Linked DNA regions of Struthio camelus. The protein of the gene in region 3 interacts with the protein of the main gene of each other region in a biochemical or structural test. Links are inferred from orthologs where the notes say so. Each region holds a gene or a part of one and is shown on either strand. Other genes may lie near its edges.

The links.
Region 1: of the proteins of RB1 (region 3) and CDK1, one has a biochemical effect on the other in vitro, tested with the Homo sapiens proteins (8 studies listed by BioGRID). The link is inferred for Struthio camelus from reciprocal best matches to the Homo sapiens genes RB1 and CDK1.
Region 2: of the proteins of RB1 (region 3) and CASP3, one has a biochemical effect on the other in vitro, tested with the Homo sapiens proteins (2 studies listed by BioGRID). The link is inferred for Struthio camelus from reciprocal best matches to the Homo sapiens genes RB1 and CASP3.

What each region holds. Positions count from the first base shown.
Region 1 is NC_090948.1:36,164,407-36,171,587, forward strand, and holds the start of CDK1 (cyclin-dependent kinase 1), read left to right. Parts: upstream 1-4,075; 5' UTR 4,076-4,368; intron 4,369-4,906; exon of another isoform or gene 4,907-5,014; intron 5,015-5,131; coding exon of another isoform or gene 5,132-5,182; exon of another isoform or gene 5,183-5,261; intron 5,262-7,020; 5' UTR 7,021-7,163; intron 7,164-7,181. UniProt on the Homo sapiens protein: Plays a key role in the control of the eukaryotic cell cycle by modulating the centrosome cycle as well as mitotic onset; promotes G2-M transition via association with multiple interphase cyclins.
Region 2 is NC_090945.1:51,139,246-51,146,380, reverse strand, and holds the start of CASP3 (caspase-3), read left to right. Parts: upstream 1-4,029; 5' UTR 4,030-4,415; exon of another isoform or gene 4,416-4,434; intron 4,435-4,901; exon of another isoform or gene 4,902-5,057; intron 5,058-6,998; exon of another isoform or gene 6,999-7,022; intron 7,023-7,135. Other genes in the region: PRIMPOL (DNA-directed primase/polymerase protein), read right to left, coding at 790-983, 2,247-2,334. UniProt on the Homo sapiens protein: Thiol protease that acts as a major effector caspase involved in the execution phase of apoptosis. Following cleavage and activation by initiator caspases (CASP8, CASP9 and/or CASP10), mediates execution of apoptosis by catalyzing cleavage of many proteins.
Region 3 is NC_090942.1:192,180,373-192,188,055, forward strand, and holds the start of RB1 (retinoblastoma-associated protein), read left to right. Parts: upstream 1-4,617; 5' UTR 4,618-4,732; coding exon 4,733-4,848; intron 4,849-5,260; coding exon 5,261-5,378; intron 5,379-7,683. UniProt on the Homo sapiens protein: Tumor suppressor that is a key regulator of the G1/S transition of the cell cycle. The hypophosphorylated form binds transcription regulators of the E2F family, preventing transcription of E2F-responsive genes.

The sequences.
Region 1 (7,181 bases), on a different chromosome or scaffold from region 3:
GCTAATGAACCCTCCGGACTACAGCTACACAGAAGTTCTTTCTTTAGCCTATAACATTTTTAAGTTACAACCAGATAGAATCAGTATCACATACTGATAAAATCATGAGGCAAGTATCAGACAGTACATGGAAACTTTGAGTAATATCTCCTTTTCAGAGCACCACCCTAAGTATGTCCCTAGAGAATAGCTTCCTGAATTTGTTAGGAACTACTTCATTATAAAGAGAGACTAAAGAAAAGATGGTACCTTTTTCTCTGCCACAGATCAGCAGGAACTGAAGTTGTAAGTGGATTAAATAAAACAAATTACAATGTTACTAATTAGCTAATGCTAAATTCATTTTTGTAGGGCGCCACCTTCCCCGAAAGGAAACTGGATGGATTTGTTCAAGATGCTAATAAGACTTGGCAAGATTTTAACAGTATGCAATAACTATGTGAAAAACAAGGTGGCAAAGACTGACATAAACAGTGAAAGCCTCTTAAGAACTTCACCACAATAGTTATTAATGTTTTAATAAAGCAGTTTTCTTTGTTGCCCCCATCTTCTTTACCCACTTTTCTCCTCACATATAATACTTCTTTACATACAGTCATACTTCCTTCCAATGATAACAAAAACATACAGTGCAAGCAACTATCATTTTCCATGTACTTTATGTGGATGTTTATGTAATTTAACTGTTCAGAGTAAAAGCTATTAGCACCAACACCAGGGAGTACATACAAGTTATCAAAGGACTAGTGAAGTTCAAGCATTTCTGATCTCATTTCTCCACTGAAGAGGTGAGAAAAGGGTAAGGAGTCTTTTCTTCATTATTTCCCCACCCTCCAACACCACTGAAAATAGGAATTATCTGCCCAAGAAAGAGAGCAATGTGACTTTTGTTTCATTCCCTATATTTGCCTTCCATTCTTTCTTCCCTGAAAAATTAATCTAAACTAGTTTCATCACATTAAGGAAAAAAAGAGAAGGTTTAAAACTACCTTGAAATATTTATTTTGGAAAAGTCAAACCTCAACATTCTCATTTTTCTTCTCAGACATTTCAGCATCATATGTTACACATCTTAGAATTCAAGCATAAAACAGAAATATTTGCTACTACCCTCATGCCCAAGGTTCTAAGCCTTTTCCATAGGAGCAAAGAATTAGCTAAACGCCATGAGCTGTTTCAAAGTCTTCCTTGGGCCAAGTCCTTGTCAAGCTCCCTTAAAGAGATGAAGGAATTTTGCCCGATTAAAGATTGCAAAACCAAGCTTTTCTCAGAACTAAAGCAACATGCCAGCTCTCATTTTGTCATCCACAGATCCATGCCAAATAACTGTAAGTGCCATTGTCAACAGCTTAGCATGAGATCTAATGTACAGGAGCAATACTCACATTTTAGACAACACACTGGCAAAAACCACCTTTGATGAGTATTCAAACAATAGATTAAATTAACAGTTTTCACACTCTCTGAAGAGCCTGGCACACATGTATCTCAAAATTTATCCCGGAAACCAGAGAACGGTAGAAGAGAATCCCAAAAAACTTTCAGGTAGAAGGAAAAGCAGGATTAAACTGATAAAGACGTAGAAGAGAACCAGAAGGGACAACAGTGACAGAAAACTACCTATGCCAAGCATTTATCTGGAATTGAAACTCAGTCTGGCCTGCAGACTGCAAAGATTTCTTTTTAGCTGCAAAAAGAAAATTGCCCTCAAAGATTCCAATGATTAAACAAATTTAGGGTTTTTTTTCCCCACAGCAACAACATGGTTGTAACTGTGGTCGCACAGATTTGGAAGCTTTAAAATAATAAAATATTTCACTCTTAAGATTGAGAACTTATGTGAGAATTATTCAGCTTTCATATTTGAACAGAGCTGGGGTTTTTCCTGCCCTACACAAGAATAAGATAACCATCTCCTCTCTTTTCCAAAAAGGCATTGGTTTTAAAATTAAATTGCAAACAGTATTTTAAAAAAAACTTTAACTTGCAAAATTTAAGAGCTCCTCCAAGCTTTAGACAATCCACAAACTTACTCAGTACTGTAAACTCCCCAAATATAAACATTACAGGACAGAACAGCACTGTCAGTGACCTACAGGCATAATAAACTTCCTGTTAGATGTTGAATTTTAACAGTATTTGTAATGTTGACACTCAGAACTATAATAAAAGAATTAGAACTAAAAAAGTATATTCTACCCTTCCTGTTCCTTTTTAAAAAATATATACTTCTGAGTAAAATTTTAGAATATATTAAAGTGAAATAAGTAGCAGTCATCCTAATTATTAACAGCTAAGCAGTACAGTAATACAAGAATATTTTTAATTGCAAGCTATTTTCTTTCTCATGCTGTTACAGTATTTCTGACTCACTCTGTAGAGTTTAGAGGTTATCTTGGAGCAAAACTGGAAATAGAGTTTGGAAAAAAGAAAAATACTTATCTACAAGTAAACATGTATGTGAATTGTAAATTATAGCACTAAGATATAACTCACTACCTTAATAAAAGCATATAATTAGCAATAAATTAGGATTTAGAAAAGACAAGCAAGGTGATATTTTTTCCATTAAAAAAGGAAAAAAATTATCGGGCAAGTATCAATAGAACAACGGCATGCAACAGCACAGTATCATTCTGCAACAAAAATCAGGAGATGCACACTAGCAAGTTCTCGTGGAAGGTATTTAGGCAGAGTGAGATTTATGATAGCAGAGACTATTCTCCTAGCAACTCACTAAAAATACCAATGCTATTTCAAAACACATCCCCACTTCTAATGCTGCCCATTAAAAAATTCAAGATCTATACACCTTTAATACCCATTGCGGGGGGGGGGGGGGGGGGGGGGGAAGAGATTAACATTTAAGAACCTGACCTAAAATTATTTTCAATCCAGTGGAAAGTTCTGCTGGCCTTGACAGTGTGGAAGGATGTAAGGCTGCAGAACTAGACCCTGAGGGCAAAGCTGAGACTCCTGAACTGTTCTAAGACTACTCCAAGGCCAAGATGCAACATGTCCAGCTTAGAGACAGAGAACTATCATCTTCTTTAAAAACCTCACTGCTTCAATCCTTTAAATGTAGCCTAGATCATGAACCTTTCAGAATAATAAGTTTGGAAGTTGCCTACTTTGGAAAAATCTGACAAGTCTCATTTAACCTGTATATCCACAAGGCAGATAAAAGAAGTGAAGCAAAAATGTCTTGTGTACTGACAACACAGGAAGTTCTGTCTTCTCATTCTAGGAGCTCTCATTGATGAAGTACAGGGCTCAAAACACGGAAGTCACAAGCAAGGGGAGGAACAGCCTGCCAACCTGGAACTTAACCTTAGAGGACTTCAAGAGGAATGCTTTAGTCTAGCCCACTGCTCCTCTTAGGGCTGTTATTTTATGGTTAATTTTAAAGCATGAACTCCCAAAAGATTTAGAGGGAGAAACATGAAAGACTAACATTCTACAACAAGAGAGAGAACCTCACAGAGCAGATGGGATCCTAAGTGCAGCAAAAGTGCTGTTAAAACCAGGACGGTTTTATGGTTCCAAAAGATACTTTAATCAAAAAAATTAAAACACAGTTTAAAAAAAAAAAGTGGGTGGTGGGGAAGAAAACAGAGTAAGTTTTATGCACCCTTGATTGAACTATAGCTTAAATCTTACAGTTTTCAGTTTTGGTTTCAGAAGCTCTGGGCTTATAGCCTTAAGAAACAAAATTTGCATTTACCACACTTTTTCAATCATTTTAAAACCACATTTTAAAACTGGGAAAAAAGTTATTTAGCTGGTCAGACATTGTGTAACATGCAGAAATGTGTTCTTTCTACTCTAAGGACACTAGTATTTGCAGTTAAAACCAATTATGCCATTTGTGCCCAGCTGGAAGAATGTCAGACCAGCCCACTTCATTGCAATATAAGGCAGTGTTTTTGGGAGTGCAACACACAAAAATGATCACATTCACTACATAAGCTACATACAACCTTGTAGCACAGTGCTTTTATCAGACCCTAGGGCCTGGGTCTAATCACTGAAGAGGATGGATGGACTTGGGAGAAAGAGCCTTCCTGTAATTTCCCATGTAGTTATGGGTGTGTTGAAGCAGAGCCTCCCACAGCACTTCACCTTTCCAAGTGCCAGCTACCACCAGCAGCAACCACAGGAGCTGCCTGTATTTTAACCCTCTTGCTACTGGAGTCCTTTCATATGGTATGCATACCCTTATTCATATTATAGCATCACGATGGCATGGCATAAGCCAGCAGCAGCTTGCCTTGCACTGTCATTCATGAGACAGGTCCTGCTGCTGGCTCTGCAATCAGGCGCTGAGCAAGGAGGAAAACGTCCCAAGGGCAGCTGAGAACATTTCAGGTAAGGGCATCTCCATCCAACAGCCAGGCTACTGTTTTATGACTTACGTGTTGGAAAACCAACAAGAAAAGCAAACTGAATACACTCACTAACTACACACTAACTTGTTAACAGCTCACTGGAGCGCGTTACTCCTAAAAGCATAAATTAGCGTTGCTCTGTTGTTTTAAGCGATCCCAAGGAAAAAGCGAACGCTTAGCAACCTGTAACGCGACCCTGCGAGGCACGACCTGCGCCAGCCGCAGCCCGACGGGCGGCTTCGGCACGGCGCGGGCCGCTGCCAAGGGAGAGGGGGAAAAAAAGTGAGGAAAAGAAAGAAGAGCGGGAAGAGGCAAGGTCCAAGGAGGGGCGTCAGGTTTTACCGACACAGAGGCAGTCGCTCTCGCTCACACCCGGACGCTTAAGAGCGGAGGCAAAAGGCGTCTGCGCCCCGCCGACCCCCGCGGGAGGCGAGCGGCTCCTGTGAGGGACGTTTGAACGCCGCCGCTTCCCTCACACCTGAGCGGCGGCCGTTGGGGGGGGGGGAGGGGCTCCGCGCGCCGCCGCTGAGGGGGAGCCGCTCGCGCCGGCAGCGACCGTTAACGGCCGCAGCGGCGCGAGCCCGGGCGGCGCGCGCGGAGGCGGGAGCGGGCAGGAGAGAAGTGAGGTGAGGAGAGGCGCGGCGCGGCGCAGGAGGGGACCGCCCGCGCCCCCCGCCCGACGGGCCGGCCTGGGCCGCCGTGCTCCAGCGGGCGGGCGGGGGCAGCGAGGGCTGCGCGCTCACCTGGTCTCCGCCGCGCCGTCCCGCGGGGGAGGAGGAGGCGGCGGAGGCCATGTTGCGGCGCGTCCAGGCACTTCTCCCACCTCGCCGGGCCGGGCCGGGCTCGGCTCACCCCGCGGCGGGGCGGGCCTGCCCCTCGCCGCCCCCTCAGGTGGGGCCGGGCCCCGCTCCTCCCGCGGCAGGGGGTGGCCGCCGTCCCGTCCCTGTCCTGGGCCTCCTCACGCCTGGAGCCGGTGCTTTATTACGGAATCAAAACCCCGCCGTTTTCCGCCCAAAGACAAATAGGTGCTGGGGGCACCTGTGGCCGCGGCCCGGCCCCACCTGCGCTGCCGCCCCCTTTCCATCCACAGCTCACTGCTCCTCAGGATGCAGTTTTCGGGGACGGAACTCGAGTTTGCTAAACTTGAAAAATAAATAAATTAGTTAATTATTAATTAATTAAATGGCCTAGCTAGGTGCTAATATATTCCTTACCGCAGTTAAATGGTAGCAGCTGGTTTTCCCACGATGAATACTACAGTGCTGATACGTTAAACCATAATGCAAACTCAGAATGCCTGGGGCTGGGTTGGGTGTTGTGAATCAGTCCGGGTTGGTTTGGTGTTTCGTTTTTGTTTTCAATCAAGGCTGAAGACTATAAAGCCCAAAGCGCCCAAATGAGCTGTGTTGATTAAAATAGCCGTGTTTGTTGTTTGGTGGTGTTTGTGTTTTGTGAATGCCTAGTAAAATATTCTAGAATGGCCTTGCTGAAGTTTTATTGTATCACAGCTTTCAAAATTGCAAGAAGTATTATATAAGGTATTAAGGTTACTTTAGTTTGGAGTTAAATGCCTGTATCCTCTCTTCTGTACTTTTTTTCCCCCCCCTTTCAAAAGCCTCGTTCTGGTACACCAATCTGTTTTTCTCTTTGCGTTAGAACTCAATACCAGAATTAGGAGAGGTTAAAGACAATCCATTTTACCACGCCTTAACTTACCTGGAAACATTGTAGCTAATAGTTTAATTCACTGATTTTCTACTACTGCTGGCCTTGTGGGCACAATGTAGAAAGTGGATACCCAAATGTATAAGCTGACTATAGCTGTTCACGTGTCTTGAAGATAGTGCCTAACTAATTGCTTGTCACTCTCTCTGTAAAGTGCACGCATTGGTTCTTTGTGCATAGAGCCAAAATAAAAGCATTTACCTGGACTGATGATACAGCTATGTCTGATACGGATAAGTTAATTCTCAACTGCTGACTGGGATGGTTTCACTGGTATAGAGTGCAGCACATCCTTGCAAGCATGCTAGTACATCGGATTAAGTATACATCCCAGCCTGGGATAACTGTTGAGGTCTCAGGATTCTTCTTATTTAATTTCTGTCTGTCTCACAAAAAAAAAAACTGTCAGCAGTACTTCTCTTTCTTGAGAACAAGGATCAATTTTCCCTAGAATGTCTTTTTCCCTCTTATTTTGGATGTGACTCATTTCCTCAGCCCACTCAGGGAACTGTGAGGCAGGAGAGGAAATGGGAAGAAAGGATCACAATATCCACATTGGCTAAAAGAAAACATGAAGCAAGGCTGCTCACGTTTACTGATGAGAGAGGTACTATCATTGGCAGTGGCAATTTGCAGCTCTGAGGTGGGGCCACACACTTTTTTATAGTGCCTTGCATACCACTAGCCATCACTGTGTGCCACCTCCCATCACTCTCTGGAAATAAAATGGTGACGGTTAAAATGGAATTTTCAGATTGTAAAAGAAAATAGCACCTTAAGGAAAAGGTTATTTTTACTGTAAGGGAAACGCATATAATATTCCTACTTAAATAATTGATTAGGAGGAGGATTTCTGAACAAATTCAGGTGTGATGTGTACATCTAAATCTTCGGTGCGTTTCCACAGGGTTGCATACTTGGCTTGTCTCATCTGCATTCTCATCTGCAAGAGTACACCTTCATTCTTGGCAGCTGGAATGACACCCTGAGGGAAGAAAAAGAACTTCCTTTACTTCAGGAAAGGTTTCAAGTCAGACTTTGCTGAACGAGGTTTGGAATTTAAATGTG
Region 2 (7,135 bases), on a different chromosome or scaffold from region 3:
CCAAAAAAAAACCACTGCTGAGCTGGTGAGAATATGTTTAGGAAAACCAACTGTCAGAACAGTCTGAAAGAGACTGAGAGCAATAGCCTTCCAATAAGTTATTTTAAAAGCCCCCAAAGTCACAGTATCTGACTATTTTACACTCTTAATGTAACAGACCCCGTATCTCCTGCAGCACGGGACAACAAAAAACTGTGCCTTTTTCACATGTGGGGAACTAGAGGCAGCCTAAAACTGTCTTGTCCACAGCCAGCACAGGAAATCTGTGGCAGCAGGACATTTATGTGTACATCCTTTTAAGTGAATAGATAGCAAAAAATAGTGCCTCTTGCTGTTGAGGCTTTGCTTCCAAATGCTTACCCAATACACAAAAATATATATATTTTGCTGAGTTTCTACCTCTTTTTTCCTCCCCCCTCCCCCCCCAATATTTTCTCCTCTTTCTTCCTACCTGACTCTCTTTACTATTCTCCTGCTAACCCTGCCAGCTTGCTTATCTTGAGGAATAAATCTATCACTACAATGTTGCCAGAAAGCACCTCTGCTGTTTCAAGCTAACATCACATATCAATTCTTATTAGAGTACAATTCTTATTATCTAGTACTTATTAGAGTTCACTTCAGTGCATCATGATCTTCTACAAAGATCAAAAAAATTAATTGACGTTTCAGGTTTTCAAAACAAAAGTATCCTGCAATCTGCTAAAGACTTTACTATTAACCAGGCTTTTAAATGAAATCAAATATTGAAAGTACTCAAAGAGCAAAGACATTTAACAAACGATGTACCTCTTCACAGGTTTTTACATAGTGAAAAGCTTCAGCCTGCCGACAAAATATTTTCCAAACAGGGGATGGTTGAAAAGGTTTGGACAGCTTTGGTCTGTAAACTGGAAGAAGAGGGTTTCTTTCATAGTGAGATGCTAGTTCTTCAACTTTCTTCAGTCTTTCTTCCCATTTTCTCTTCATTTCTCCTAAAGCAACTGCAAATAGCCAAATCAGTATCAATTTCTGTTTGTGATTCAATTGTAATATACCCTATGCCCACCTCTGCTTTTGATTCTTTATTTGTTGAGCATTCATTATTTATTCACCTAGTATGGCCAATATTCAAAACCAACACCCAATTTAACTATGATAGTCCTTCCTTAACATTTAATCTTTCCACGCAGTTCTGGTAAAGATCATTTATTTTCATATTAATTCAATCAAAGATCAACACACAGAAAAGATGAAGTAAGGGAATGCACAAGAAGTTTAATTTTGATTTACAGAACAGTATTACACTCTGTACAAGAGTACACAAAACTGTCTTAATTAGCCTCACATGATTAGTAACGAGTGCAAAAATGCTATGGTTTCTGCTTTATGGCAAATACTTTATGGCTGGAGAAAAAAAACAGGGTAATTGATTTATATGGGTAATAAATCACTTGAGTTCCTAAGCAAAAATTAAGATTTCAGTGACCTAGCTCTGAGCTCTGTGTCTCAAAGTAAAAGAACTGAAATCCTAAATGAGTGCTCCATTCTCTGATGCTGAACTTAGCTATTGATCAGTAATAGTTTCACCTGCTTTAAAAATCTCATGTTTTCTGTGCTTCCTTGCAAACCTAAAATAGCAACCCTGTCTGTTCTCAAGAAATGGTATGTGACACAGTAATGCTTGCTGTCATGCAACCTTTAACATAAAGGGATCCACATGCTGTAAAGCAACGTAAAACACAAAAGTACCTAAACATAACAGAGGTATAATTATTTGCAAGTTTTACTACCTTTTTTTCCTGAAAAAAAATTATTGCCATTCAAAATGCCTACAAATGATTAAGAACATTCCTAAAAAACTGAAACAGAAGAAGAGGGAAAAGGAGTGGAAAAGACTCAGATGCATCTTTTTATTCCATTTAGGATTATCACTTAACCAACGCTTGGTACACCTAACAACATGCCACTTGCAATAAAAGAGAAAACAAAACTAACTATACTCAAAAGCCTTCATACCTTTAACAGACTGGATACGCAAGGTGAATTTAAATATTTAAATATCCCTGTGGGCACCAAAGCCCAAATTCTACATCCTCTGAGTCCCCCTCCAAGTTTTCCACAGCGAAGTGTTCTGGACTCCAGCATTTATGCCCATGGTACACTTAAACCTGCCTTAAAGGTTTAAAGGTGTAGTGCCCAGGTCAAGCCTAAACAACAGAATGCTTTTTCCTCTTACAGGGGCCAAATATACCATGTCTGCAGACCTTGACAGCCTGTTGACCTATGAACTTCCTCCACTCCCTTCCTCTTCATGCAATCAATTTCTTCCTTGGCAATGCAAAGAGAAATCATAGATGGCAATCAGCATTTCTCAGAAGCAGCAGAACCTTTGGTTTCGTTTTGATACTGTTTGCGTTGCTGTAAATTAATTCAGTGCAGAAGGACAATAGAGATTCGCTACCTCAGCACCCTCCCACAAGGTCACAGTTAAAGAGGAGGGAGGCAAAGGAGAATTCCCGTAATCCTACACTCATTTTAAACTTCCTATTTAGGAATATTTTTTGCAGAAACAATTTCTACAGGGATACTCGAGTCTGAGCAAAGGATGATGCCTCTTACTTTAAATTGAGATCTGTCACTTTTTTTTTCAGTCCAAACGTTCATGGATTCTCAGCAGTCCAATGTCTCAGGTCTTTCGAAAATAACTTCAGCTCCTATACCAAATATACCCAACGTAACACATCTACTTAGAGCATGTACAGTTTAGACCTACAGACTAGTAAGCCACCTGAGTTTACATGGAAATTCTGACTCCGTTTTCATTCAGTTCCTTCCCACCAGAAGGAATGGGAATAATTATATTCATTTCACTCCCCAGAAAGAAATTTTGTCATCAGCATGTTTGTACTTCACTGTTTTTGATAGCATATGAAGACATTCAGAAAACATATCTCCCGGGAGATCACAAACTCTGCATTTCATTTCCCCCTTTGATGAAAGACTATCAAAAAGCAAGCAAGTGCCTATTTCGACAGGTTGGAAAATTTAGTTTTTGATCTTGAATTTACCCTGCTTTTTGCTACTAAAGGTCAATATACGAATAAGAAAGTAAACAACTGACCCTAAAGTTCATAATGAAGCAGGAACTACCTCTTACATTCAAACAGCTATTGCATAAGAGCGCATGGCAGGGCATTCAGATTCTAGTAAGAAGGGATTCAGACTACATTCATTGCTAAGCTGTACAATTTCCAAGTTTGCATCACGTAGCCATGGGAGATAAAATCCATCATAAGTGGAAGGGCCTGCTCTGATACAGTTCAGTATATCTGTATTTCTTCTGATCACTGAAACCAGAAAGATGCCCTCTCATATGCTATTCATCCCCTGCAATTTATTTACGATCATAATCAACCACTTGTTTGGACTGCCAGAAACACATTAATTTTTCAGCACACAGAAGAACTGAAACAAAACACATATCCAGGTTACGCAAATTCAAACACAAACAAGCGGTATTTCCACTGCAGCGTACAGAGGAAACAACCAAGTTTTATGCTCAGGCAGCTGTAAGAGGCCTGGTACGCAACGCAACTTAAAGCCTGCTTGGGCACTTCCGCACTTGCGGTGCAGGTGTAATTCAGGCACAATCACAATCAAAATGCATGACTGCTAATTTGTCACCCATGTGCCAGCACAGACTTCATTAGGTTCTCTGTAAGCTACAGCAACGACCATATTTAAACACTTCACACATTATCATGGTCTGAATGTTATAAAACACCAGGGAACTCCGACTAGGTTTTGAGATCTTTATGCTAAGAATATAAGGACCTGCAGTTTACCAGCACGACGTAACTGGTGGTGGTAACAAGAACATCACCAGGTCCAAACATGAAGAAATTATGAGTGACAATTCGGGCGGGGCGGCGCCCGAAGAGCAGCAGCAGCGCGCGCCGCCGCCGCCTCCTCCTCCTCCTCCTCCTCCTCCTCACAGCGCGGCCGCGCACGCACAGCGGCCTCCTCCCCCCCCGCCCCCCCCGCCCCGCCCCGGCGAGAGCCGGCAGGGCGGGCGGCCCCTCGGCCGCGCTCCCAACGGCCCCAACGGCCGGGTTCACCGCCCCCGCCCTCCTGGCGGCGCCTTCCCGCAGCGCGGCTCCCCCTGCGCCCCGAGGGGCGATGAGGCCGGGGGGGGGGGAAGACCCCCCCCCGCCGCGGACCCCGACTCACCGCCGCGGGCCCGCGCGCGGCCGGCTGCCGTTGGCGTTTGAGCGCGCCGCCGTTGGCCCGGCCCTCCCCCGCCGCCGTCCCCTCCCCGCGCGGGGCGGAGCCAGTGAGGCCCTCGCACAAGGCGGTGGCTCCTTCCCTCGCCGCCCAGCCCCGGGAGAGGAGGCCAGGTCGGGAGAGCAGCGCCGCGCAAGGGGGACGAGCCGGTGGGTAAGGGCGGCGGAGGTAGGCGCGGGGTTTGCCGGGCGGGCGGGCCCGGGCGCGGCGGCAGGGCCGGACAAAGCGGCGGCGCCCTCGGCCGCAGGCCGCCGGGGCAGGAGCAGGACAAAGCGATGCCTTTGTCCTGCCGGCGGCTTTTGTTATGTTTCGTTAGAGCGGAGCGGTGGCCGCGGGGCAGTTACCTCGAGCACACCCGAGGTGGCTGCCGGCCCTGCCCTTTCCGCTGGCTGGGGAGAGCGTTGCGAGAGCAGCCCCGGCGCCTCGGCGATGGGCTGTGGCCGTGGCCGTGGGGGGTGGGGGACAGGAACACCTGGATTGGGGTGGATTATTGATTTACCAGAAGCTTAAAACTAATCGTTTCTTATTTTGATGGGAGCATTTGTGTGTGTGTGTGTGTGTGGAAAAGATTACTAAACTTAAAAAACTACTTTCCAGTGTCCCTCTGATAGACTATTAACTGACTTGAAACCTAGGGCCAAAAACTGCACTTGGATTTACCAAAACAACTCTTTGGAGACAGCAGGTCAAGTCTTGTCCGAAAAACGGCAGTTCAGTGACCCAGTTCTTAACAAAATGCTGGATGTGTGTTAGCTAAGATTCATCCTGAGATCAGATTCACGAATGCGGTGGTAAGAGTGTTTACTTGCCTCTTAACGTTCTGATCCTGCAAATACAGGGAAAAATATCAACATACTTGAGTCACTCACTTGACAGAAACTGTTACCCTAAGTTTTTATAGCATGTAGATGTCCCTGTCCAAGGTATTGTCGGTCCGTTCGCTGCTAGATTGAAGGATAGTATAGGTAATCTACTCTTTGATTCTCCAGCTAATAGTTGTAGTTCTTCTGAGTTTCTGCTTGTGGTTAGTAGGCAGGCTTAAAAATATACTCTTTGCCCCTAGCAGCCGATCAGGCTCCTTAACGTTATTGGTTGTGGTGATAATGTAGCTAATAGGTATAGATGGATGAATAAGCAAAGGCCCTGTGTATTCTGGGAATAAATTTTCAATGTGCTGAGTTGACACATCAATGCTGATTAACTAAATCTGTTTGTCTTTGGAAGATCAGACTGCTGGCCCGGTGTCAGTGCTTTTCAGCAACCACATCCAGGCTAGAAGCAGCGTGAAGTGCTGTCACAATATTGGCATGCTTCCATCAAGGGAAGCAGCATTTGATAATGGTGTAATATCACACAGAAAATATGATATTTTTCAAAATTTTTTTTGTTTTTTCTTATAGACAATTTATATATTTTCCTTCTGCTATTATCTAATTATCAATATACATTATATAATGTAAACTATTAATTTTGCATGTCTGCATTGGTATTGCAATGTTCCTTATCCATATACATTAAAAAAAGCTGCCTTGAATGTTTGACGTTTTCTTTTGCAAGCATGTGAGGTGGAAAACTGTGCCCTTTGGCAGTCTTTATAGATACGTTTTATGATCTTGGATTCCGTTTGAGACATGTTTTTGTACTGCTATGATCGTTGCTTTGTAGCAGCTGGCTTATACTGAACATGTGTTCTCTTGTCTGCTGTGGTTTGCATATTTCAGGGTATGGTTGGTAACTAGAGATGGGTTATTTGCTTCCTTTCCTGTCTGAGAAGCTTTGGTATTATTTTTATCTCTGTATTGTTAACTTGTCTCGTATGGCTCAATATTCAGGCAAGTATTATTTTGAATAAAAATTTGATGGTTCTTATGACAATAGTGATAAAGATTATGTGAATTTAATTTTGTTAGGTTCAGGTGGAATAAGAGGCTGGACTAGGGTAAACACATTTTTTTTATTTATCATTAGTCTGTCAAAAGAAAAGAATTAGAACAATTGCATTTATCTAGGGCAAAATATATTTTTGGTTTTATTGCTATACATATAAGCTATTACTTCAGTCATTTCTCAGAGCTTGCTGACAGCTCTAGATTTTGGACCCCTTTCAAGAAGCTTATTCTTTACTGCTTAATACTTCCAAATATGATTGTAAGATTATCTTTATTTACACCTTCTATCCCTGCCTCACAGGATTTTTAAATATTATCAAGTTTTTCAAATAAAATAATGTAGAAAGAGCTATCAAAATAAGCTTCCTAAAACTTACAGAAAATGTTCTGCTAGATTAAAAATGCTGTTGTTCATCAGCTACTTGATCTTTAAGTTTCCATATAGTTGAAAGCTCTTCTCACCTAAGGTTTTAGAGAAAAGAATATCAAGGAGCAGAATAACAACTTTAATTAAATTCTTAACATATTTTCCTGAAAGGTTTCTCCCCTGCCGCTCACCATCCCTGCTAGCATGAGATCATCCTCTACAGGGAAATGTGTATTCCACTTGAGAGAGCATGACCTCATTGCATTACCTAAACTAGGATGAGGTAATTCTTAGTACTCGGTTAGAATCAGCGTTGTCCTCTGACAGCACTGCTGCTACTCTGACGTTAGTGCTGTAGGGCAGAAAAAGTACTGCTGATAAAGCGTGCATTTGAGAGCCCAGCAATAAGACAGGTACCTCTTTTTGGATATCTTTTGTTCTTTAAAGAAGTACAGGTGAATTGGTGCTTTAAGGTTCTCGAAAGTCTATGGAATTTAAAGGTAAGTTACAGATTCTATTCTGAAGATGAGGCAGATGAATTTGTAAATGCGTAATGTTCAAATATTAAGCAAGTGGGCATTATACACAGTTTTTTCTTCAGTATCTCTCCAGC
Region 3 (7,683 bases):
CTGCGAGGGCATGTAAAAACCACCTGTTCATCAAAAAGGGGGCTACAACAGCCTGCGAGCTGAGCTCGTTTCACCCCACCACACCTGCAAGTCAGGTTCAGGCTTGCAAGGCAGAGCTGAGGTCAGCGCAGTTGTGAGGCAGCGTCACCTGGAAAGGGATGTGCTAGTGAGTGCTAAAGGCCCAGCTAGAGCTAGAGCTAGAGATGTAGGGCCTCCACCAAAATGGCTGATGGAGTTGGTCACAGCCCCCCTTGTTGCTCACCCTGGTAAAGCCTGCCTGTGACAGGAAGGGAAATGCAGTGTGATTCAGGTGGGTAAATGGCCACAGGGTTGTACTCCCCGGGGTGGCTGCTGAACGTGGAAGATGGAGGAAACCAAGGCAGGCTGAAGAGTGCCCTGGCTACATGTAAGTGGGTGCTCTGGACCCTGTGCTGTCACTAGCCCTAGAAATAACAAACAGAGATACAATCCAAGCTGAAGCCTTCTCAAATACCAAAGGTCATTTAAAATGGCTAGGGTACCATTCCTGTGGAGAACGGCAAGCTGCACAGCAGCAACTGGTAGCAGACAACGCACGCGGCACCAAGAAACTCCTTCTCCCATTTGTGATCTGCGCAAAACTCCCTTTGGTTTCCTAGGGGAAAAAAAAGACACTATTTATCCCCAGGTAATGCAATCTCAATCATTTTCTTCCTCTAATTTGCCATTGCTTTTGTCTAGGATAATTCTTGAACAATATTTTCATAATCTGTGAATTTTACAGCCTAACTGTATAGCCATTATTCAAGCAAAAATTCTGTCATTAATCAATACTAGCACTAATATCCAGAAGATCGCAGTCTAGTGATTTTAGTAGAAATACATTAATTTCATGTATCTCCAAGAAGAAATGACTTTATCAGAACTCTAGCTTAGGTGGTGGATGTCGATCTGTACTAATGCAGAAACAAGCAGCTAGTCCTGATAGACCATGAAGTTGGATGAAATAAAAATGAAATATTTCTGGTAGAGGGAAAACTTGATTTCTGAAAACTAAAGAAGTTGCAAGTTACTAACATGCCTGAGCATTAAGGGTCAGAATAAAAAGGGTTGGTTTTGCTTATAATGAACGCATGGTTTCCATTCCCACTGGCAATTACTGTGAAACTATAGCAACAGTTTTTAAGTTGAAAAAAAGAATTAAGATGATAACATTACTTAAGATTGTTTAGCAGCTGGAAACAATGAGTCAGGGCTGCCTGACTGGGCTATGTTTCAGACTTCCATCTGGCTATGACCTGCTCTTTAAAAGCTGTTGTAGCAAGATATTTAGAACAAAGATATTGTCAGGCCAGATGAGAAATTATGATTAATGCTGTGACCTTGCAGTCTTTTAACTTTTTTTTTTTTCGAGAAGAGCTGCTTTTTTCCTTCCTTTGTCATTTTATTCAAGAGTCCAAAGGCTCCATTTAAAAGAAAATGACTTAAAATACAAGGTTAAATGACTTAAAACCCAAGGTTAAAACTATCAAATCAATGTATCTAACAAGGAAAAAAAAGCAGCAATTTACATCTAATCTTACATATGCATGTGCTTTTTTTAGGAGGTACATACATGTACACATGCGATCTTATTGCAGTTTAGATGTAAAGTTAATACAGCTGAGGCTCTGGGATGGAGTGAAGGTTACTGTAGCTTGATTCATCTGCTGCCTCCCCGCTGCTGCTGCTGCTGCTCCTCCTGTTCTCATAAGCTGCAAATTTAAGCATCTACGAGATATTTTTGGTTGCTCCTGCTTATGGAGAGTCCTGAGCTCTCGTCGCTTGAGGAGAAGGCGCATAAAACTTGATTCAAGAGGGTGTTTGACACACGGACAATTCTAGAAAGTTAGTATTTGCCCTGGCATTGGTTGGCAGCCCTTTAACAGGGCCCGATGTTCACCAAGTGGTAACGCACAAGGGGTTACGAGAGCAACACACATTCCTTGCCCGTTGCTCGGATGATCTTGGGCTTGGCTATGAAAGTGTGTGGAAGCAGCTAGGAGGGAAGCTGCCCAGGAGGGCAGGTTTTCCTCTTGTGGACAGCTGGGAGGGTCTGCGCTGGCTGTGACCGCGTTTCGGGTTGCTTTGCTCTTTTGAGCTCATAAAGCCCGTCGTGACGGAAGGGCAAGAGACTCGTGTGGTTTAGCTAACCACACATGGAGGTTTAGCTAACCACACGTGGAGGTTTAGCTAACCTTATCTGCCTAGTTGCCTACAAATCTTCAGCTGTAGGTGACATCTGTAGTCCTAGCCTCTGAACCTTTGACAGCATCTGGTGTCATCTGATTACAAGAAATTCCTTAAATATGCTTAGAAGGGTAAAGTTACAGTTTTGCTGGAATTATGGTAAGGAATGTCCTACTGCAGTTTACGAATGAAACATTTCATTTGAAGTTTATGAACCTTGACTTGCCTCAGAAATCCCATTGGTTCTGTATTCACTTTACTGTAACTTGTTTAATTCTAATATGAATCAGAAAAATGGCCTGTTCTGCTATTTTTAAGTGAAAAGTTAATAAAGAAAAAGCCATGCAAATCAATAAAACCTGTGACCCTTAAAATACTGCTTTTTTTTAATCGTTTACTGGTAGTGCTCACATTTTGTTAGTCAGATTGCTATTAAACTTTTGGATTTAAAACTGCTTGCTTTACAGATGAATGATCAATGCAGACATGTAAGAGTCCTTCCATATCCATGTCCTCAAATATGTTTTACTTTTTGGAACAAGTTGCCACCGCAGAAGCCTGACAGAAAATGTGCTAACTGGCAGCAGAAATGGGCCATCTCCCAGCGGGTGGGCGACTGCGGACAACAGGGTTAATTCTTAAATCCGTGGATCAAAGACTGAGGACTTTTTTTTTTTTTTTTAAACCAAACATAACTGCAACGCACACTGTTAAAAGTAGTATTTTAGGTGGGACTCGGATGAATATCCAATTCAGAGATTGTCATGAAGGACGTGGTCGTGAAGAGTTGTGCTCAGTGGCACAGAGTCTAGTTGGAGGCCTGTAGCTAGCGGTGTCCCCCGGGGGTCAGTCCTGGGTCCAGTCTTGTTCAATGTATCCATCGATGACCTGGAGGAAGGGACAGAGTGCACCGTCAGCAAGTTTGCTGATGACACTAAACTGGGGGGAGTGGCTGACACACCAGAGGGCTGTGCTGCCATTGAGAGGGACCTGGACAGGCTGGAGAGGTGGGCGGAGAGGGACCTCCTGAAGTTCAACAAAGGCAAGTGCAGGGTCCTGCACCTGGGGAGGAAGAACCCCATGCACCAGGACAGGGCTGGGGGCTGACCTGCTGGAAAGCAGCTCTGCGGAGAAGGACCTGGGAGTGCTGGTGGACAACAAGTTCAGCATGAGGCAGCAATGTGGCCCTGTGGCCCAGAAGGCCAAGGGTCTCCTGGGGTGCATTAGGCAGAGTGTTGCCAGCAGGTGGAGGGAGGTGATCCTGCCCCTCTCCTCATCCCTGGGGAGGCCTCACCTGGAGTCCTGTTTTCAGTGGTGGGCTCCCCAGTAGGAGAGAGACATGGCACTACTGGAGAGAGTCCAGCGGAGGGCTCCAAAGCTGAGGAGGGGACTGGAGCATGTCTCCTCTGAGGAAAGGCTGTGAGAGCTGGGCCTGTTCAGTCTGGAGAAGAGAAGACTGAGAGGGGATGTCATCAATGTGTACAAGTATCTGAAAGGGGGGGGGTGTCAAGAGGATGAGGCTGGACTCTTCTCTGTGGTGTGCAGTGACAGGACAAGAGGCAACGGGCACCAAATGAACCACAGGCAGTTCCATCTGAACGTGAGGAAGAACTTCTTGCCTGCGAGGGTGACAGAGCACTGGAAGAGGTTGCCCAGAGAGGTAGTGGAGTCTCCTTCACTGGAGATATTCAAAAGCCTTCTGGACAGGGTCCTGTGCAACGTGGTCTAGAGGACCCTGTTTGAGGAGGGGGGTTGGACTGGATGATCTCCAGAGGTCCCTTCCAACCTCAACCGTTCTGTGATCCTGTGATTTGCCATTTGTGAGGTGGGAAGTTTTCCTCGACGGCAGCGGCCCTAAGACAGCAAGAAACGGGACAAAAGAGGGAGGGGTTATGCTGCAACTGCTGAAAAAAAAAAGCTTCAGGCGGGATTTGTAGCGGTGTCCCGCTGCCGAGCAGGGGCTGAGCGCCGGCTGCCACCGCGCCCGCCCCTGCGGTACCTGCGGGGCGGCCGGCACCGCCTCAGCGGGCCGCGCCCCGCCCCCACCCGGCACGGCGGGGCGGGGCGGGGGCGGGGCCCGCCTTGGCGAGCCCTCGCTCTAGTTGCCGGGACGCACGAAGCAAAGGCAGCTCCTATTGGCTAGCGTGAGGCAGGAAGCGCGCTCATTGGCTGAGCCCCCTGCGCGGGCGGCTTCTGCTTCCGGGTTTCCGAGCGCAGACCGCCGCCGCCGTCGTCGTGCCGGTCTGCGTTTCGAAGGCGCGCGTCCCCGCCGCCGCCCGGCAGTGAAAGGAGGAGGAGGAAGGGGGGGGGATAGAGCGGCGGCCGCCGCCGGCCCGGAAGTGACGACGGAGCGGCTGGCGGTGACGCGAGGGTTGCCGCGGTTTGAGTGGCGGCTGTGCGCGGAGGGGGGAGGGGCGCCGAACCGGCCGTCGGTCGGTCGACCGATCGGTCGTTACTGCAGCCCTCGGCGGGCGTTTAAACGGCGGGGCCCAACGGCCGCCCTCGCGCGCGCGGCGCCGCCGCCATGCCGCCCAAGCCCCCCCGCCGGGGGGGCGCCGCCGCCAGGAGCCAGCGGGCCAGCCCGGAGAGCGGCTCCAGCAGCGCCCCGCCGCCGCCTGCCGCCGCCGCTGCCGCCCCCCGGTAAGCGCCGCCGGGCACCTGCTGCGGGGAGGGTCGGGCGGTAGCGGCGGGGGCTGGCGCTCCGAGTAGCGCGTCCTCCTCAGCGGGGCGTTCGTGGGGGCGGGAGGGGGGGAGAGAGAAACTTTAGCAAGCCGTTAGCGTGGCTCAGGTGCCTCCCTGTACATCTGCGTGGCTCCGGCTGCCTGTTGTTGTGCTGTCTTGAGCTCTCTGTATACGTGCCCGGGGGTTATTTTTCTTCCTTAGCTCCTGTGTGGCTTGCAGAGCAGAATGGCCTTGCCAGAGAGTGATGCGTCAAGTCAGGCTGCATCAGAGTTGCACTTTAATGTTCTGTAACCCCTGTTGAGGTGTGTAGTCCGGTAAATTGGTGTGTTGCACTGGGATGCTACGAGTAATATTTTCCCCTTTTTCTTAGGCTTGAAATTGGAGAAAGTGACTTTGTTGTACTCTGTGATGTTCTGAAAGTATCAAACAATGTGAAAGAGAAAGCTTGGAAGACATATGAGAGCTTATCATCTGTAGATGGATCTCTAGTGAGTACCTGGTATCTGTAGCTCATAATTATATTGTAATAACTGCCCTGTATTTGAGTTCAAATATTAAACTGTAGCTTTGCTTGACTGAGGGCTTGGTGACTTGCAGCTGATGCTCGTGCAGTGTCACTCCCCTACCTCCCCCCCCCACCCCCCTGGGCAGCCTAACTGAAGTCAGATGTTACTGTGTACATATCTGCACAAAATAGTTTATATACCTTTACCTTTTTGTTAATATAGCCTAATAAAAGTAGGGAATGGTGAATTCTTTCAGCTTAACAATAAATGACAGTAGAAAACAATACCATGTGATCATTTAATTCTTCAGACCACAAGCTATTTCAAATATGTCTGAGTCATTTTTATACAGATCATCTGTTTCTCACCACCCACTGCCCTTAATGAGGTTGCCGAAAGGGTCTGGACAAAAGTGTTACAGAAAAGTGATGTTGGTATATTTAACTGCCTTTTCTTTTTTCACTGCACGCTAATGTTAATCTGGATGCAGTTGTGACTGAGGTATCTTCAAAGTTAGTCATTGGGCATGTGTAAATGTTATGCCCTCCCTTCATTTTTTTGCTCAGTGAATTACTGCTGGCTGAATAAGTTGACTCAGACAACAGCTACAGTACAATTAAATCGTGACTGAAGCTTTGTTATGCAGATCTGAGTTAGAGTTTAAAATACCCAGCTTGGAAACTAGCCCTAGTCTGAGGTCTAGCATAGGCTAACATCTATGTCTTTGTTGCGACTTCTGTTTATTCTTCTGTATCTTGAACTGATCTGTCAGATCTCATTTCCTGTGCTTTTAAAATTGCAGTATGGTATACTAGCTCTTGATGTGTTTGTGAGTTTTAGAACACAGTACAGTAATGGTGCTGGAGAGAGACTGTGTACGGCTCTTGCAGTAACAAATACAATTTCTGGCCTTGGGTGTCCTCAGGGTACATATACTCCAAAGCATAGTCAAGCTTCTCTATGAAGTGAAACAGAAGTAGTTAGTCCTATTCAGTGAGAAAGCCAAGACAATTTTCAGTATAATTGTGCATATTTCACTTACTGTTCACTGCCTGGCAGTGGCTAGATAAGACACAGGGCATTTGAAACCCTCCTGTTTGGTATCTGAAGATGATCTCATATAGGATTCAGAACAGGGCAATGACTAGATCTTCATTAAGACATTTGACTAGTATTTATTGTCCTGTAATTAATGTACAATTGAGGCCTAGCCTAAGAGCCTTTCAATGTATAGGGAAAAAGTCTGCATTATATTTTGGACCTATCCTGGACACTATCCTCAAGTTTCTGACACGTCATCAGGGTGTCAAAATAAGGAAACTGGCAAGCGTATGTCTCTTCTGGGAGCCTGGCAGGCCCTGAGGTTGCTACTTCTAGCTGAGATCAGTGCAGGCCTTATTTGAGTGTGAAGTCAAATTAACAGCTTGGCTGATAGCTGCTTCTCTTTCCAAGTCAAGCTGTTGTCATGGGGAGCAGGGCCTCTCGCTATGACAGACTGGCTTTCTGGTTCAGGTTGTGAGGACTCTGGAGGAGGTTGCCTAAACCACTCACTCCTTTCTCCTCTAGGGGAAAGATAATGTGCTTAAAGGGGCTGCCCCTGTGTTTGGCCTGCAAGCACCAGCTGTTCAGTGCTAACCTGTTTAATTCTGCAATAGGAGAAGTTGCATACATAGCTGCTTTCTGTTCTGAAGTGAAAAGGGAAATAGCAGGACATAAGTCTAGACAAATGCCTGCCAGAACACTCCTGTTTCACCTCGTATCTGTTTTGACTTTAGGAAAGTTAAACCATCAGACCATTGATGGAGCAGAGCTGTCATGATTCTCAACCTGTTTATGGAGCATGAAGACCTGAGCGCTTCATATTCCCTGGCACACTGGCCTGTGCTCCCTGGTTCATTTCCGAATCCTCCCTGCCTTGTCTCCAATGATACGGAGGGGACTTGATGTAGTGTCCCGGATATAGGATATTGTGCGAACTGGCAGAGATTCAGGGTGCAAACATGGTCTTAGACTTGGTCTAAACACCTGGTATAGCCATGCTCAATGATTATTTAGTGACTTTAACAGCTTTAAGAATTTTTGTTGATCTCTTCCTGTTGGGAGGAGAAGGGTTGGTAGCTGTTGCTCTCTGAAATGAATCTTCAGTGCCATCATCCACTGAATCCACCAACAGCACCAAAACTGTCTGAGTTGCTATTTTTTTCCTTTAAGATGTTACACTTTTTCATGCTCATGTTTTTTCTTTTGAGTCCTTGAGCTACTCATGATCCTACTTCTCTCTCTAATT